Ovis aries: one gene and its partners. The protein of the gene in region 3 interacts with the protein of the main gene of each other region in a pairwise test. Links are inferred from orthologs where the notes say so. Each region holds a gene or a part of one and is shown on either strand. Other genes may lie near its edges.

Region 1 (4,509 bases), on a different chromosome or scaffold from region 3:
GCCCAGCTGGCCCTGAGGGTCCCTGAATCTTCCTGCCAGTCTGAGCGAGCTCTCTGCTTCCTAGTTTCCTGGATCTCAACCTGACTTAGGGTTCAAACCTTAACCCGTACCAACCCCTAAAGCTTTCCCAGCGTGTGGCCTTGGAGGACCAAATGCACAGGCCAGGTCTGTCTCCAGGGCAAGTGATGGCATGGCAGGGGCCATGATGCCTAAGGTACCAGCGAGGCCCCGCCCCTGCCTGTCTGTGTGGCTTCTGGGCCTCCCTCCCAGGAGCATCAGATGGGAAGATGCGACAGCCCCCTGGTAAACCTGAGGAGTGTGAGAGGTGGGTGGAGGCGCAGAGGGCCTCTGGGAAGCACTGCAGGGTACTGTTAGGAGGTGGGATCCAAAACCCTGACTCAGGGCTGGGCCAGGCACTCACCTTCATTAGAAAACCTGAGTTTTCTAATCTAGGAAATAATACATTTACCTCAAGAAATTAAGGGTGGAACATGATAATGCGCAGAAAGACTAGAAGCTAACTTTAGCCCATCGTTATTTTAAGATGAAGAAATGACAGTGTTAGAAACACGTGTGTGCACGCTAGGCTGCTTCATTCATGTCCGACTCTTTGGGAGCCTATGGACTGTAGCCCACCAGGCTCCTGTGGGATTCTCCAGGCAAGACTACTAGGATGGGTTGCCATGCCCTCCTCCAGGGGATCTTCCCGACCCAAGGAACAAACCCGAGTCTCTTACATCTCCGCATTGGCAGGCAGCTTCTTTACCACTAGCACCACCTGAAAGCCCATAAACACATTAGTCTCATTGAAAAGCCTGACTTGTCTGAGTGAGGCTGAACTGTGTGCGAAGCCCTTGGTCTGAGTTAGAGGCTCTGAGCGCCTGAGGCCGGGACGCGGGCGTCTCTTCCTCAGCTCCGCCCCACACCTGGCCCTGGACAGGTGATGCCGTCCCTCCCTGGCTTGGGTCGGGGCTGGCACTCTGGGAGGGCAGTGCCCACACCTGGTCCACAGTCCCCGTGTGCTGCCATCCCCAGCTACCTGGACAGCCTGGACCGGATCGGGGCCGCCGACTACCAGCCCACCGAGCAGGACATCCTCCGAACCAGGGTCAAAACCACCGGCATCGTAGAAACCCACTTCACGTTCAAGAACCTCCACTTCAGGTGAGGGCCAGGGAGACTCCCCATCCCTGGAGAGGGTGCTAAGACACGGGCGACCCCTGCCTCCCAGCCTCAGCTCATCTGGAGCATTCCTGTCTCAGGGAGCTCTCAAGTTGGGACAAGCAGTTGGATGCGAGAAGGGACCTGTGTGTACCCCTCTTTGCCACCAAGGTCAGGGGCTGTGGTGAGCAGGGAGGCTTCCTAGAAGAAGCATCCTGGAGAGGGGCTCTGAGATACAGGGAGGATTCAAGTGGACAAAGGAGGGTAGTCCTGTCCCTGCCTGACTTCTGACGGGGAGGATGGTGGATCACCCAGGTGGTCTTTGAAGGCATGGAGGCGTGGGGGATAAGAGCGGGCGAACCTAAGCAACATGTTTTGTGTGACCCAAGGACCCATGTCATCTCAGAACTAGAAGGGGCTTGGAGATCAGCTGGCCCACCCTCTCCAGGTATATAGGGGAAACTGAGACCTGGAGGAGCAAGTCTGTTCCCGAGCACAGAACATAGCTCAGGCCCAGGGTCTGAGCACCGTAGGCCCTGCCAGGGTGTCATAGCACCACCTGGGGCAGCTTGCATGCCCTGAGGCCTGGGTGCCCCTAGCTGCCTCCAGCTGCCTCCTGGGTGTGGTTTCTGGGTGTTGGGTGGAGCAGGAGGAGAGGCCAGGATGGCCAGGACAGTAGACCAGTAGACTTGAGTGAGGCCACTGCCTGGCCCTGCCCAGCCTGAGGCCCAGCCCCTGCCTGCTCTAGTCCCTCAGTCTCTCCCACTTACCGATCAGGGCAGAGGGTGTAGAGCTGGGCTGGGGGCGCCTGGCCCGCAGCAGCTGAGAGTATGTGCTGTGGAGGGGCCTCAGAGACCATCACCAGGGCCCAGTATTTCAGATGGAGAAGCAGGGTCCAAGGGAGGTGGTGACGGGATGAGGACCGGACCTGTGTCCTTGCTCTAGGTCCGCTGTGGGCTTCGGCCTGTGGCTGTTCTCCTCTATCAGCGGGTTGGGGCCCTGCCCACCCTGGCAGCTGTGCGTCAGGCCTGGGATCTTCACTCAGGGCGTTAGATGTGAGGTTGACCTCGCACTTCCAGGACCAAATCCCCTCTGCCACCATCTCCCCTGACAGCTCTCATGCCCCAGGGGATGATGCTGAGAAGGGGTGAGGGAGGGCGGGCACAGAGCAGAGAGACAGACGTTGACAGCCAGACGTCTACAGACCGACGTTGGTCTCACCCCAACTCCTGCCGGCACCCTGCACTCAACCCCTTGCTGCTTCACTGGGCCTCCACGTGGGAGCTGCAGGTCCCTGCCCACCTCCCTCTGTGCCTCCCAGGCTGCTCTGGGGTTTCCCCGGACCACAGACGTGAACAGACATGCTCAGAAAGCTGGAGGCTTGCGAAGGCATGTCCAGCCGAGGTCACCCCTTCGCAACAGCGCTGAGATGCAGGGGCGGGTCTTGGCGTCGCTGTGTGGGGCACCACCCAGTCCCGGGGCAGAGCAGTGACGGCCACCCCACCCCGAGGGTGCCGTGCTCGGTCCTCAGCCCGAAGCGAGGCTCCTTGGGAGGCTTGCTGTGTGCACAGCAGCCTTCCTCCCTGACCCCGCAGCTCGACCAGTGTCCCCACACCTGCTGGGGTCTCCCTACCCCCACCCCCAGCTCTCCTGTCTTCCTGGTAGGCTGTTTGACGTCGGGGGCCAGCGGTCTGAGCGCAAGAAGTGGATCCACTGCTTCGAGGACGTCACGGCCATCATCTTCTGCGTCGCGCTCAGCGGCTATGACCAGGTGCTCCACGAAGACGAGACCACGGTGAGTGGCCCCAGCCCGCCCGGCCTCAGTGGCCCACGATGCCTCTCGGGCAGAGCCAGCTGCGGGGGTGGGGGTCCGTCCTTGGCTTGGTTGTTCCCACCTCTCTCCTGACTTCAGCCAGATGCCTCATGATGCCAGTGCAGTGAAGGCAGCCTTGGGCCCCCTGCCAGAGGCTATGTGCAGATGCCGGGGCACGGGCAGCAAGGGCCTCTTCAGTAAACACAGCAGAGTCGCAGAGGCCGTCAGGCCAGAACCAAGTTAAGCAAATCCTAAATGAAATCAGGGTGCAGTCAAGCAAGAATTTATGTAAGACAGAAATAGCAGTTCTTAGCTCCGACAGCCCTCCCTGAGCAGTGGGCAGGGCTGGCAGAGGGTTGGGCTGTGGGCCAGGGCTCATGGTGAGTGACAGGGTGGGGGGCACAGGCCCCTCCCCTGGAGGGCGCCAGCCCGGGTTCCCACCTTCCGTCTCTGCGTCTTCAGTCTGGGGCCTCGGAGAACTGCCAGGCTGAGGGGAACTTCAGAGGGGGGCCCTCTCTGCAGGGGGTGCTGCCTTTCTCTAGGCCTGGCCTTGGTTTGCTGCTGGATTCAGGGAGCACCCTCTCTATCTTAGGGGTGTAACCATCATACCCGCCTGGTGGGGTGTGGGCAGTGGGGTGAGAATCTTCAAGGACTTGGAACCGTCTCTGGCTTAGCAGCCCTGGGCTGGTGGTTGTGTCGTCCCTGAGGGTTGTCCTGAGCCGGGGTCCCACTGAGCTGCCCACAGAGAGGTGGGCCTGGTGGGGTCTCAGGAGACAAGCACCCGCTGAGGTGGGGCTTCTGGGCCGTGGGGTCACATCCTTGGCGATCGTTAGCTCCTGTGTGTGATGCAGGCAGGCACAAACCCCTGGCGCTGAGGTTTTGGGACTGGGCTTGTCAGGGTGGGCCTTGAGCAAGGCTATCTTCTTTCCGGGTCTGTCTCGTCGTCGGTCCTGCCTGCCGGTCCCACGGGGCTGCTACTGAGGTCTGCTGGGCTTTGGGGTGTGGTGGTATGGGAAGAGGCGCCGCCGTTCGGAGAGGTCGGGCTTATGCGGTGACGGTGCCATGGTTAGATGGGGCCAGAGCCACCGGCCGGGTGGGCCGTCAGCACTCGCGCCGCATGCTGACCTGTCGCCCTTGCCTTTTCTCCTTCGGTACCTGGAACACTTCCGAGCGGGGCATCAGCGGAACCCCACAAACCCTGCTGTGTTACGGGGCGAGGCTCTGGGACCCCAGGTGTGCAGCTCTTTCTAACGCTGGCACTGTTCTCAGTGGCCTCAGGAGCCGTGGTGTCTAAGACCCCCAGACCTGGACCTACTGACTGTCCCGAAGCCCAGCTCGGCTCCTGCTGCCCCCATAAGGCACCGCACACAGAGACCACCCCAGCCCATCACTCACTGATCCACTGTTGACCCTGCTTCTGGACCCACTGTTCACAGCCCGCTGGGCCAGCGTGTGGTCTGAGCTCCGTGTGGCTCATCTCTTCTCCTTGCTGCTCCTGGGAGTGTGGTCTGAGCTCCGTGTGGCTCATCTCTTCT
Region 2 (4,580 bases), on a different chromosome or scaffold from region 3:
AGGCAAGGGTTAAGGAGTCAGGGGCCTGTGTGAGATAGAAGCTAGTGGGAGTTTGCTGGAAGACCCCAGGGAACTCAGACCTTGGGGCTCGCTAACAACCTAGAGGGGTGGGATGGGGAGGGAAGTGGGAGGGATGTTCGAGTGGGAGGGGCACAGGTAAGCCTATGGCTGACTCATGTTAGTTTGGTAGAAACCAACTCAATACTGTAAACCTATTATCTTTCAATTAAAAATAAGCAAAGAAGAGTCAGGAGCTATGCCTGAGAAATAAAGGGACGGAAGGGCAAGGGGCCAGTTGGCTCCCACTGATGCCCCCCCCACCCCCATACCCCTTTGCAGCTACCTGAACGACCTGGAGCGCATCGCCCAGAGCGACTACATCCCTACGCAGCAGGACGTGCTGCGGACTCGAGTGAAGACCACGGGCATCGTGGAGACGCACTTCACCTTCAAAGACCTACACTTCAAGTGAGCGGGCTTGTGGGCTGGGAGCAGCCAGCCTTGGGGGTGACGGGTAGAGATCCTCACATTGGGGTCTGCTGAGGGCTGTGCTGGGAAAGAGGGTTCATCTGGGATCCCCCAGCCCCACTCTGAGTTCCTTAAGGCTGTGTGGTGGCCAGGAGCTCACAGCCTCTGCTGACCCTGCCCCGTGTGGCAGCCATCTGCCCTGCTAACCAGCCTCACTCACTCCGCTGGGCCAGAACTGGGGGAAAGTGGGCCAGTGTGGGTGATACCATGGAGGCAGCTGCCTTACCCTGAGCAGGCCTCTGTCCTCAGTCTGTCAGTCCATGAAACGGGGCAGGGGGCTTCTCCCAGAACTCCCTTTTCTGGAGCTGAGGCGCTGTGTCTGCAGGATGTTTGACGTGGGCGGCCAGCGGTCTGAGCGGAAGAAGTGGATCCACTGCTTTGAGGGCGTCACAGCCATCATCTTCTGTGTAGCTCTGAGCGCCTATGACCTGGTGCTCGCCGAGGACGAGGAGATGGTGAGAGGCCCAGAGGCCACGGGCAAGGGAGCGCTGGGGGAGGTGTGGGAGGTGGCTGGTGCTGAAAGCGCTGTCCTGCCCCCAGAACCGCATGCACGAGAGCATGAAGCTGTTTGACAGTATCTGCAACAACAAGTGGTTCACAGACACGTCCATCATCCTCTTCCTGAACAAGAAGGACCTGTTTGAGGAGAAGATCATACACAGCCCCCTGACCATCTGCTTCCCTGAGTATACAGGTGTGGGATCTGGGCCTCTGGGGAGGAGCTGGTGGTGACCAGGTGGCCCACGGGTGCCCCCCACTGGACAGGAGGGTAAAGTGCGGGACACTCATACAGAGCTGGTGCTTCACAGGCTTACACACTTGTGTCTGTACATCCTAGGGCCCTTTTAACACACTTGGGCATGTACCCCATACACGTCACTGGGCATCGTCCCTCACACAATAAGGTGCCCCTCTTTGCACACTCAGATGTGCCTGTGCACTCTGACAGTTGTCACACATCCAGGCTTGTTGGTTCACACGCACAGAACCCTCTCTGGACTTGTGGGATGGGCCCGCCTGCCCACGTAGCTCGAGTCCTCACCATTTTGCCTACCCACCCAGGGGCCAACAAGTACGACGAGGCAGCCAGCTACATCCAGAGCAAGTTCGAGGACCTGAACAAGCGCAAGGACACCAAGGAGATCTACACGCACTTCACGTGCGCCACTGACACCAAGAACGTGCAGTTCGTGTTCGACGCCGTCACTGACGTCATCATCAAGAACAACCTGAAGGACTGCGGCCTCTTCTGAGGGGCAGCGGGGCCTGGCAGGATGGTGAGCCGGGGGGCGGGCCGGGAGGGCCAGGGAGGGCCACTGAGCCCGGCCAGGGGGCAGGGAGGGCCAGAGTGTCCAGCCGGGGGTGGCGAGCTCGGACCCCGGGAGAGACCAGAGCGCGGGGCATGGGGGGCGCAGGGTGTTGAGTCGGGAGGGTGACAGGGTAGGGCACTGAGGACGGGGCACAGGGAGGCCCGGCAGTCCAGACAGTAGAAGCATCGGGCTGTGTCCTGGGACAACTGGAGGGCTGTCCCCATTTTCCTTGGCGAAAACTCACGTTCCCACCCACAAGGCCACCGGACTGGCCTGAAGGATTGAGATGACAGAAGGGGCCCAGCCGCCCTCCACTCAGCACGACCAGCTCTGTGCTCACCTCTGCCATCTTTCCCTCGGACCCAGCTGAGGGTCCCGGGCTGAGGCTGGCCTCACCAGCCCCTGGGAGTGGTGGGTGGGGAGGGTTCTGCCAGAGCTCCAGTCTCCCCTCCCATTCATTCTTGAACAGGGGTTACAGTGTGTGTGTAACCCAGCAACATACACCAGCACCATGTCCCTGGTAACAAGTGGGTGGGGAAACTGGAGAAGGGTCATCGTCTAGGGAGGCGGGCAGAGAGACCCACACTGGCTACCTCCCTCCCGACCCACGCCCTGACTGTCCCCCACCTCCAGGGCCACCGCCGACTCTGCTACCCCAGCCCCTGCGGAAGACGGGGGCAAGAGGACCACGCTCCCCGCCTGTCCCCCTGGCCGCTTTTCCCCTTCTTTCCTCTCTGTTTTTGGCTCCCCACCGTCCAGCCCTCAGCTCCAGAGACTTGGGGGAGGGGCTGCCACAGGCCTCCCTGTTTGAAGCCTGCCCTTGTCCCAGGTGCAGGGAGTGCCCTAGCCCCTCCTGGTCTCCATTCTGGTTTTAACCATTGTTTTGTTCTGTGATGGGGGAGGGGAGCCCATGCTGAGTCTCCCACGGCCTGTGTTTGGAGGGGCACCCACTTCTCCAGCCTGGGACCCCTGGCTTTGCCCAACACCAGCCCCTGACCCAACCCGAGTCCAAATGTTTACAGGGAGCCTCCTGCCCACCCCCACAACCTGCCCCCACCCCCAAGCCACTCGGAGGCCCCAAAGGAAAAAGCACAAGAAGCGTGAGACGCCACCATTCCTGAAGACCACAGTCCACTTGTTCATTCTCGTAGCTTTTTTTTTTTTAATTAAAAGAAAGTCAAAGGGGGGGGAAAAAAAAGAAAACTGCAAACCTAGAAAACTTTTTAGAAAAAACTATTTAAAACTGTCAGATCCTGACCAGCACCCACCCAACCCCTTTCCGGTGATTCCGTGCCTTGAGTGTGTCTACGTGTTTACACCCATCCCTCTGCTGGTTGCCCCCTGTGCGGGTGGCACCCCGACCCTGCCCTCCACAGAATTGGGTTCCAAGGGCTGTTCCAGACAACTGCCAACATCACTGAGGGCCCCACCCCAGTGGCCCTGGGCCCTGGCTCCATTAACCTAAACGTAGCTCCTTAGCGCTAACCTAGGAACCGCCGCTGCCTGCTGAGGGGCCATGCCCCTCATGCCCTCGCCCCAGGCCCGGGTCCTTCAGCGTTGAACACTTCCTTGCTTTTTTCACATGTTTTATGGAATTGTTCACCTGGTTTGAAATAATAAAACGTAGAAAGAAAAAAAAAAAAGATTCCAAGACCTTCTTGGCATTCTTCTCTCCTGCAGGCAGAGACCCAGGCTTAGATGTGCTAAGGTGCTTGTGGTCTTGCCCTGGGTACTCAACTGCCAGGTCATACTGAGGCCCAGTACTCATCTCTTCAGTTTTCCCACTTGGACTAGTCATCTTAACGTGTTAGGGGCCTCTAGGTCCCCCCCTTGACCCCCAGCGCCTCTGCAGTCTTGGGTCTGGGGCAGCCTCCTGGAACAGTGGGGCCGATTTCTTAAGAAGCTCACCTAAGGGATTCTTCCACACTGGGAGCAGGAGTGTCCAGTGAGTCTCTGAGGCTTTCATGAAGCTATGGGAAGTGCTCGTGCGTTGCTGGAGGAGGGAGCGGCAGATGACAGTGACTGTGATCCACAGTGGCTGTGGGTGAACCCCAAGAGCCAGGCAAGGTCCCTGGACTTTTTCCCGGGAGCCGGCTGAGCCCGTGGGGAGGGGTCGGTGAAAGGCCCTCCTCTGCCGGGCGGGGTTCGTAGACGAGCTTTTCCACCGTCGGCCGCCAGAGGGCGCGGCAGTCCACGCTTGGCCCCGCCGGGCTGGTCACGGAGGCTGACGTCATCGGGTCCTGCGGAGGCCGCGGGCCACAAAGGCCGCTTTGTAGGGCGGCGGCGGGACAAAGCGGCCCGGGCCGGGGTCGGCGCCTCCGAGGCGGGAAGGGCGGGGCGGGTGGGAGGATAGGGCCGGGGACCTGGGACCCCGCCTCCGCACACCTGGCAGTCCCCTCTCGGCCTCTGGGCCCCCGAGTCCTGGCAGGCGATGAGAGGCTGTGGCCGCCCCCCTCGGAAGGAGTTCAGCGGCGCCCCCGGTCCCTCGGGCCTTTCCTGCTACCCCTGTCTCTGAGGGCTAGGGAGCACCAACTGACTAGGAGAACAGAATCCCACGCCCAAGCCTGCATCCCTTGCCTTCAGCAGTCAGCCCTGGACCTCGCTGAACCCCAGATGTGCGGGTGGGGCGCAGTGCGAGTTCCGATGCCCTGATATCCACCCAGCAGGAAGCAGGAGCCAGAGATAGTTCCTTCCTTACGTCCTGAGGGGGAACCCTGCACAGAGGAACCATTCAGGAGCTGG
Region 3 (5,277 bases):
TTTAAAAAGGAACCCTTAATGACCTCACATGGCATCACGGCCCCAGGTGAGTGCTCTGTAAGAGAGGGGTCACTCTAAACAGGCAGGCACTGAAGGGCAGAGGACGAGAGAGGTGCACACAGCCCTGAGGAGCCGTCCAGGTGAAGGCTCCACCCTTCACCTTGAGCTCTGCACCAGGTGGGGGCTGGGATGGGGGTAAATTTGATCACCCCACCATGAAGGCAGCCTTGGTCCGGAGAGAATAACTGGGAAAGTAGCCGAGGACATTGCTGCAGGGCCTGGAGGAGGCTTCTGCTACGAGAAAGCAAAGCATGCAAGCCACAACCCAATGACTGGAGGCTATAAGGGATTGGGATGGGAGGCGAGGCGTCCCCAGGGCTGGGAGCTCATGCTCTAGACAGAGGGTCCTGGGTCCAAATCCCACCCCCAGTGTTACCCCAGGAGAGACATACGCCTACCCCCACCACATCCAGCTGCCCCACACATCTCAGGATGCAGGTGGAGATGCCATGTCAAGCATCACAGCATGAGCATGGCTGTTTGGCCTGGACTAAGTGTTGGCCCATCTTTGAAGGCCTTACCTCCTGGGACAGTTATCTAGGCTATATAAGAAGCAGCCACCTCCCATCTGGGTAGGCTTCTGGCCTCTGCTCCAGCCCAACCAGCCTGTCAACATGACAGCCAAGTCCTCCAAGGACACAGCATAAGAGGCCCCCCAGCCTTCGGGGCCTCTCCCTCCTCTCTGGCCTTGGCCTGCACTCTCTCCAGCTCAGCTCAGCTCTCTGCTGGCTCCAGTTTTATCCTTTGCCAAGCAAGATGCAGGTCTGAAACACCCGCTCTCTGCTCTGTGGTTCTCCTTAGCCCTCCTCACCTCTCACCCAGTCTGCAAGTCCATTTCTTGTCTGCTCTATGGCTGGTCTGTTCTGCCCACTGCCAGGTCCCAAGGCTGACATGTAGAGAACACCCAGACATTTGCAGGATGAAGACAGTATGTAAATTCTCCCCTTCCCTTTATATCCCCAAGAGCGCTGAAAAACGCGAGCATATACAACTTTGTGCAACTGGAAGGCATTTTGTGAGCAGGCCCAGGGACCAAGGGACATGAGCTGTACACACTCTGAGGCCAGGGGACTCAGACACTCTGCAGACCACTTTCAGAGCAGGGTCGGGGCCGTCCAAATACGGGCCCAAAGCATGCTGGGATAAGGAATTTAACTCACATCTGTACCGAGTCATAAAATACGAGATTTGGCCAAAGAGAAGAGTCAGGCATTCCTGGCAAAGGGGAGAGTGTGGCTTTAAACTTTAGAACATTTTGGGGCAACTGGAAGGGTTGAAAGGGACTCAGCCGGCCACGCGGACAGGGACTTTGGCGACCCCGGATATAAGAACCATTGCCCACCCCTCACCCCGCCCCAGTGGCGCCGCAGCCCAGGAACCGCCTTCCTTGGGAAGGCCCTACAGCACGGTGACTGACAGCACGCCCTTGACCGCGTTTCACAGCTAAGGATACTCCGTGCCAGAGCCTAGGGACGGCTCGGGAGTGACCACGGGGTCCAGTCCTTTCCAGCCGCCTCTCCCTTCCTCAAGAGGGGCAAGCAGCCCACGGAGTCGCCCCCTTCCACCCCCCTACCCCTGTAACGGCAACGCTGGACTGGCCCCGCCGAGAAGAGCTGGAGGCACGGCCACACCCCCAGCTGCCGCAGTACCACTTCAGCCGCTCCGGGAGCCAGAGGCCCCAGCATCAGCACCTCATCTCCACGGGCCACTCAGCGACAATGGGGACCCAGACGCCGCGCGCGAGCGGTGGGGAGGGGGCGGGTGGGGCGCGGAGCCGGCAGAGCTCGGGGCGGGGCGCGCCGGGCGGGGCGGGCCGGGCCGGGCACCTCCCCGCGCGAGGAAGTCCCGGCCCCGCGCTTTGGGGAAGTGCGGCCGAGGCGCCTGCGCACTGCAGCCTGCGCCCGCTCCCCGACGATCCGGCCGGACCTCGGAACGCGCGGGCCGGCGGCTGAGGCGCGAGCGGCTCGGGAGCGCGGCCGGTGAGTGCGCGCGCGCGGCGCCCAGGACGGCAGCCCTGCCCCTCCGGCCCGGGGCCCGTGGGCTGTGCGGGGCGGGAGCTTCGGTAACCGGCGCCCAGATCCGCGCCCCAAGGACTCCCGCCGAGGGGTCCACGTGGACCCTGGGCCGCGGCGGGACTGGATGCAGTCCCCGCGCGTGGGGGAGGGGGCGTTGCAAGCGGGTTCCCCTTTTTCTGCAGCTCAAAGCCTGGGGAAGTGATTGCTCAAAGTGGGGGGGGGGGGCCGGAAGAACCCAGGTTTCCGCGTCTCCCGTCCCCCCTTCAGCCTGGTGGGGAGGGGCCGAGGCGGGACACCCGTACTGCCCCCGCCCCCACCCCGCTGGATCTGGCAGTCAGTCATCCCCGCCAGTCGGAGGGGAGGCGCTGCGCCCCCGGCCCGAGCTGATCGGGGGCTCCTGGCGCCAGCCTCGCTCCAGAACGCGCAGGAGGACCTCCTGCCGTCTGACTTGAGTCCTGCTGCTGCAGTGCACGCCCCTTCGGCAGCCAGGGTGGGGCCCAGAGCGACCTGGCCCCTCCCGCCCCCACCTCGCCTTTGGGTCGCTGGTGAGTGGGGCGCGTGGCGAGTTCCTTGAGGGTAGGGTGGGGGCGTCAGAGGCCGGAGAAAGGGGCAGACTTCCCCAGGCCAGACCCTATTAGCCGAGAGAAGGAGAGAGAGAAGTGGGTTGCCCCTGCCATTGCAGAGGTGGGCTGGGGCGAGGGTCACCAGGGCTAGGAAAATTGGCCTGCCTTGGAGCCGCTAGGCTGGGACGTCCCTACCAGCCCAGTGGTGGAGGGCCGGGGGCGAAGCAAACAGGAAAGGTGCTGAGGAGGATGAGAAGAGAATGGAGCCCCTCTGGCAACCCCCCTCACAAAGGTTATGGCATTTTTTCCTGGGATTGTCACATTTTCTTATTCTTTTTTTGGACTGGGCGGGCTCGGGGACGTTCTTTTTCCTTCTGTGGAGCAGAGCAGCAGCTGCTCCCGAGGGAACCTCTGTCCCCAGAGGCCAGACTTACTGCCCGTCCAGCTTCTCCCATCCTAGACTTAGGGGCCAAAGCCTGGATGGGGCTGGGGAAGAGGAAGGAGCCCCCTTCCACATGCCCGGATGAGGGGCAGGAGCCCTGATTCTGATCCTGTAACCCCACTAGGAGAGAGAGCAGGTGCCCCAGAGGCATAAGTGGTCCCAGCCGGCCTGGGGATGGTGCAGGGAGCCAGGTTCAGGGGTGGGCGACAACGTCCAGGGCCTACAACCAGGGCAGAGGGGCGGCCTCTCCCCATCTCTGCCACAACTCAGCCCCCAGCACCTGGGCGCAGCACTCTCAGGCAGGTCCCCTCCTCCAGTTCAGAGCTGATTTGGAGAAGGCAGCCTAGGGAGTTTAATCTTCAGGGAGCTAGGGGGTGGTGGTGGGGGGAATTGGGGCCCTGCCCCCACTCACAGTGGGTGGAGATGCTGAGGAGGAAGAGCCGCTCTGCCTGGGGAAGTCACAGCCCGGCTGGGGTACAGCTACCAGACCTCAGAGGTTGCCACACCCCTTCCTTTCCCTAGAAACTTGACCCCTGCGGGAAGGCAAGCTGTGGGGCTGCTGTTTCCCCATCTTGTCTGTTTGCTGGAAGCTTGAAGGTCCACCTTCCCATGCTCCAGGGGAAGCCAGGCAGGCAGCCAAGGGCCAAGACCCCATGGGCCCCTCCACCTGGCCCCCAGATCCGGGTCAGGGCAGGGGCCTCTGCATGCTCAGACTCTGGAGACAGGGGTGCCCTCAGCGTGCATGTCTCGGGCTGTCATCCCTGGGCACCAGCACCTGGCCAGGAGATGGGACGCCGGGGTTGCCCAGCCTGCGACCGTCCTGGGGCCCGTCCTGCAACATCGTTTTCCTCTCCTGCCATCGCAGACCCCAAGAGGCCAACTGAACCAAACAGGCACTGAAAAGCCAAAGCTGAGGAATGGGGGGCGTGGGGGGGGGGGGAGGCAGCAACTGAGAGAATGTTCATTTAATGAGAAAATAAAGTGAAACCAAGTCGTGAGTCTCTCGCGGCGGGGTTTCAGAAGGTCCGCGCCCCAGACGCGCCAGGGGCCGCCCCTACCCCGGGGAAGGGGGCGGGATGCCTCACCTGGGCCGAGGTGGGGGTGGGGTGAGGGCAGGTGGGAAGGCGTTCAAAACTGCCTCCTGGAGCCTGATTGGCCGCCCTCGGTCCCTGCGTTCCCAACAGGGGCCGCTCATCCGGGTGGGACTGAGCACCCTCCGCACGCCCGCACTGCAGAAGGGGAAGGTTCGCCCCGATGCCGCTCCGAGCGGAAGGGACCCCGCGGCTCCTACCCGCCCGGGAGCAAGACGCGCCACCGCCCGCCTGCGGCAAGGCCTGGGGCCGCAGCGGTTTCCGTAGCCTGGGGGTGGGGAGGGGAAAGGAGGCTGGGAGACCCGGAGGTGCCAGTCGAAGGTTGGGTGCGGAGCCAGCGTCCGGGCTGAGAAGGCGGCTGTGCCTGCTGCACTGCCCGCACCTTCAGGACGCCCTGCCTCAGCCCCAAGCCCTACTCCAGTGCTCCGTGCCACAGGCCTGGTCTGCTCCCTCTGCGGAGTCCCTGGGAGTAGGCGGGGGGCCTCCAAGGCCCCGCAGCCCTTCTGAACTCCTGGTGGGAAGCAGCCTCCCCACCTCCCACCACCCATCCCCTGGAAAACCTGGGAGGGAGGTTCTGAATGTCTACCACCACCCCTGAGAGCCTCAGACTCAGACTCAGACTCTGGGGGCCTGCAGCCCCCTGGGAGGGGCCAGGAGCCGGAAACCAAGAAAGAGGAACCCCTGCTTCCGGCTTCCCAGGGAGGGAGCAGATGGGGGTGTCCCAGAACCTCCTGTGGAGAGCTTGTCTGGGGTCTCCTCCTTCCTGATCCCCATCCCCTCACATCTTCTGTGTAGACTAGAGTGGGGGTTGGGCCTGGGCAGAGTAGTCTAGAGGTGGGAGGTGGGAGGCGGAGGAGAGTCCGTGGAGGTGGGAGGCCAGGGAGGCAGGTAGGGAGAGACTCAGAATGCCTGGCAGGGTGCCGGCCAGGGCGGGTGTAAGGTTCTCAGTGAGAACCCCGGCCTCTCTTCTCAGACCCCCAGGCTGTGGTGACAGAAACAGGTGTCCTGGAATAGGCACCACGGAGCCCTGGCAACCTCCTCCACCCATCCATGCCCACCCCACCTGAGGCTGAGAAGCAGGTGGGCTGCCTCCACCCTGGCCGCTG

The links.
Region 1: the proteins of RGS19 (region 3) and GNAO1 interact in a two-hybrid assay, tested with the Homo sapiens proteins (2 studies listed by BioGRID). The link is inferred for Ovis aries from reciprocal best matches to the Homo sapiens genes RGS19 and GNAO1.
Region 2: the proteins of RGS19 (region 3) and GNAI2 interact in a two-hybrid assay, tested with the Homo sapiens proteins (2 studies listed by BioGRID and IntAct). The link is inferred for Ovis aries from reciprocal best matches to the Homo sapiens genes RGS19 and GNAI2.

What each region holds. Positions count from the first base shown.
Region 1 is NC_056067.1:23,771,122-23,775,630, reverse strand, and holds part of GNAO1 (guanine nucleotide-binding protein G(o) subunit alpha), read left to right. Parts: intron 1-1,035; coding exon 1,036-1,164; intron 1,165-2,826; coding exon 2,827-2,956; intron 2,957-4,509. UniProt on the Homo sapiens protein: Guanine nucleotide-binding proteins (G proteins) function as transducers downstream of G protein-coupled receptors (GPCRs) in numerous signaling cascades.
Region 2 is NC_056072.1:50,152,587-50,157,166, reverse strand, and holds the end of GNAI2 (guanine nucleotide-binding protein G(i) subunit alpha-2), read left to right. Parts: intron 1-339; coding exon 340-468; intron 469-853; coding exon 854-983; intron 984-1,068; coding exon 1,069-1,222; intron 1,223-1,590; coding exon 1,591-1,781; 3' UTR 1,782-1,805; intron 1,806-2,471; 3' UTR 2,472-3,483; downstream 3,484-4,580. UniProt on the Homo sapiens protein: Guanine nucleotide-binding proteins (G proteins) are involved as modulators or transducers in various transmembrane signaling systems.
Region 3 is NC_056066.1:53,495,346-53,500,622, forward strand, and holds the start of RGS19 (regulator of G-protein signaling 19), read left to right. Parts: upstream 1-1,952; 5' UTR 1,953-2,620; intron 2,621-4,264; 5' UTR 4,265-4,407; intron 4,408-5,144; 5' UTR 5,145-5,221; coding exon 5,222-5,251; intron 5,252-5,277. UniProt on the Homo sapiens protein: Inhibits signal transduction by increasing the GTPase activity of G protein alpha subunits thereby driving them into their inactive GDP-bound form. Binds to G-alpha subfamily 1 members, with the order G(i)a3 > G(i)a1 > G(o)a >> G(z)a/G(i)a2.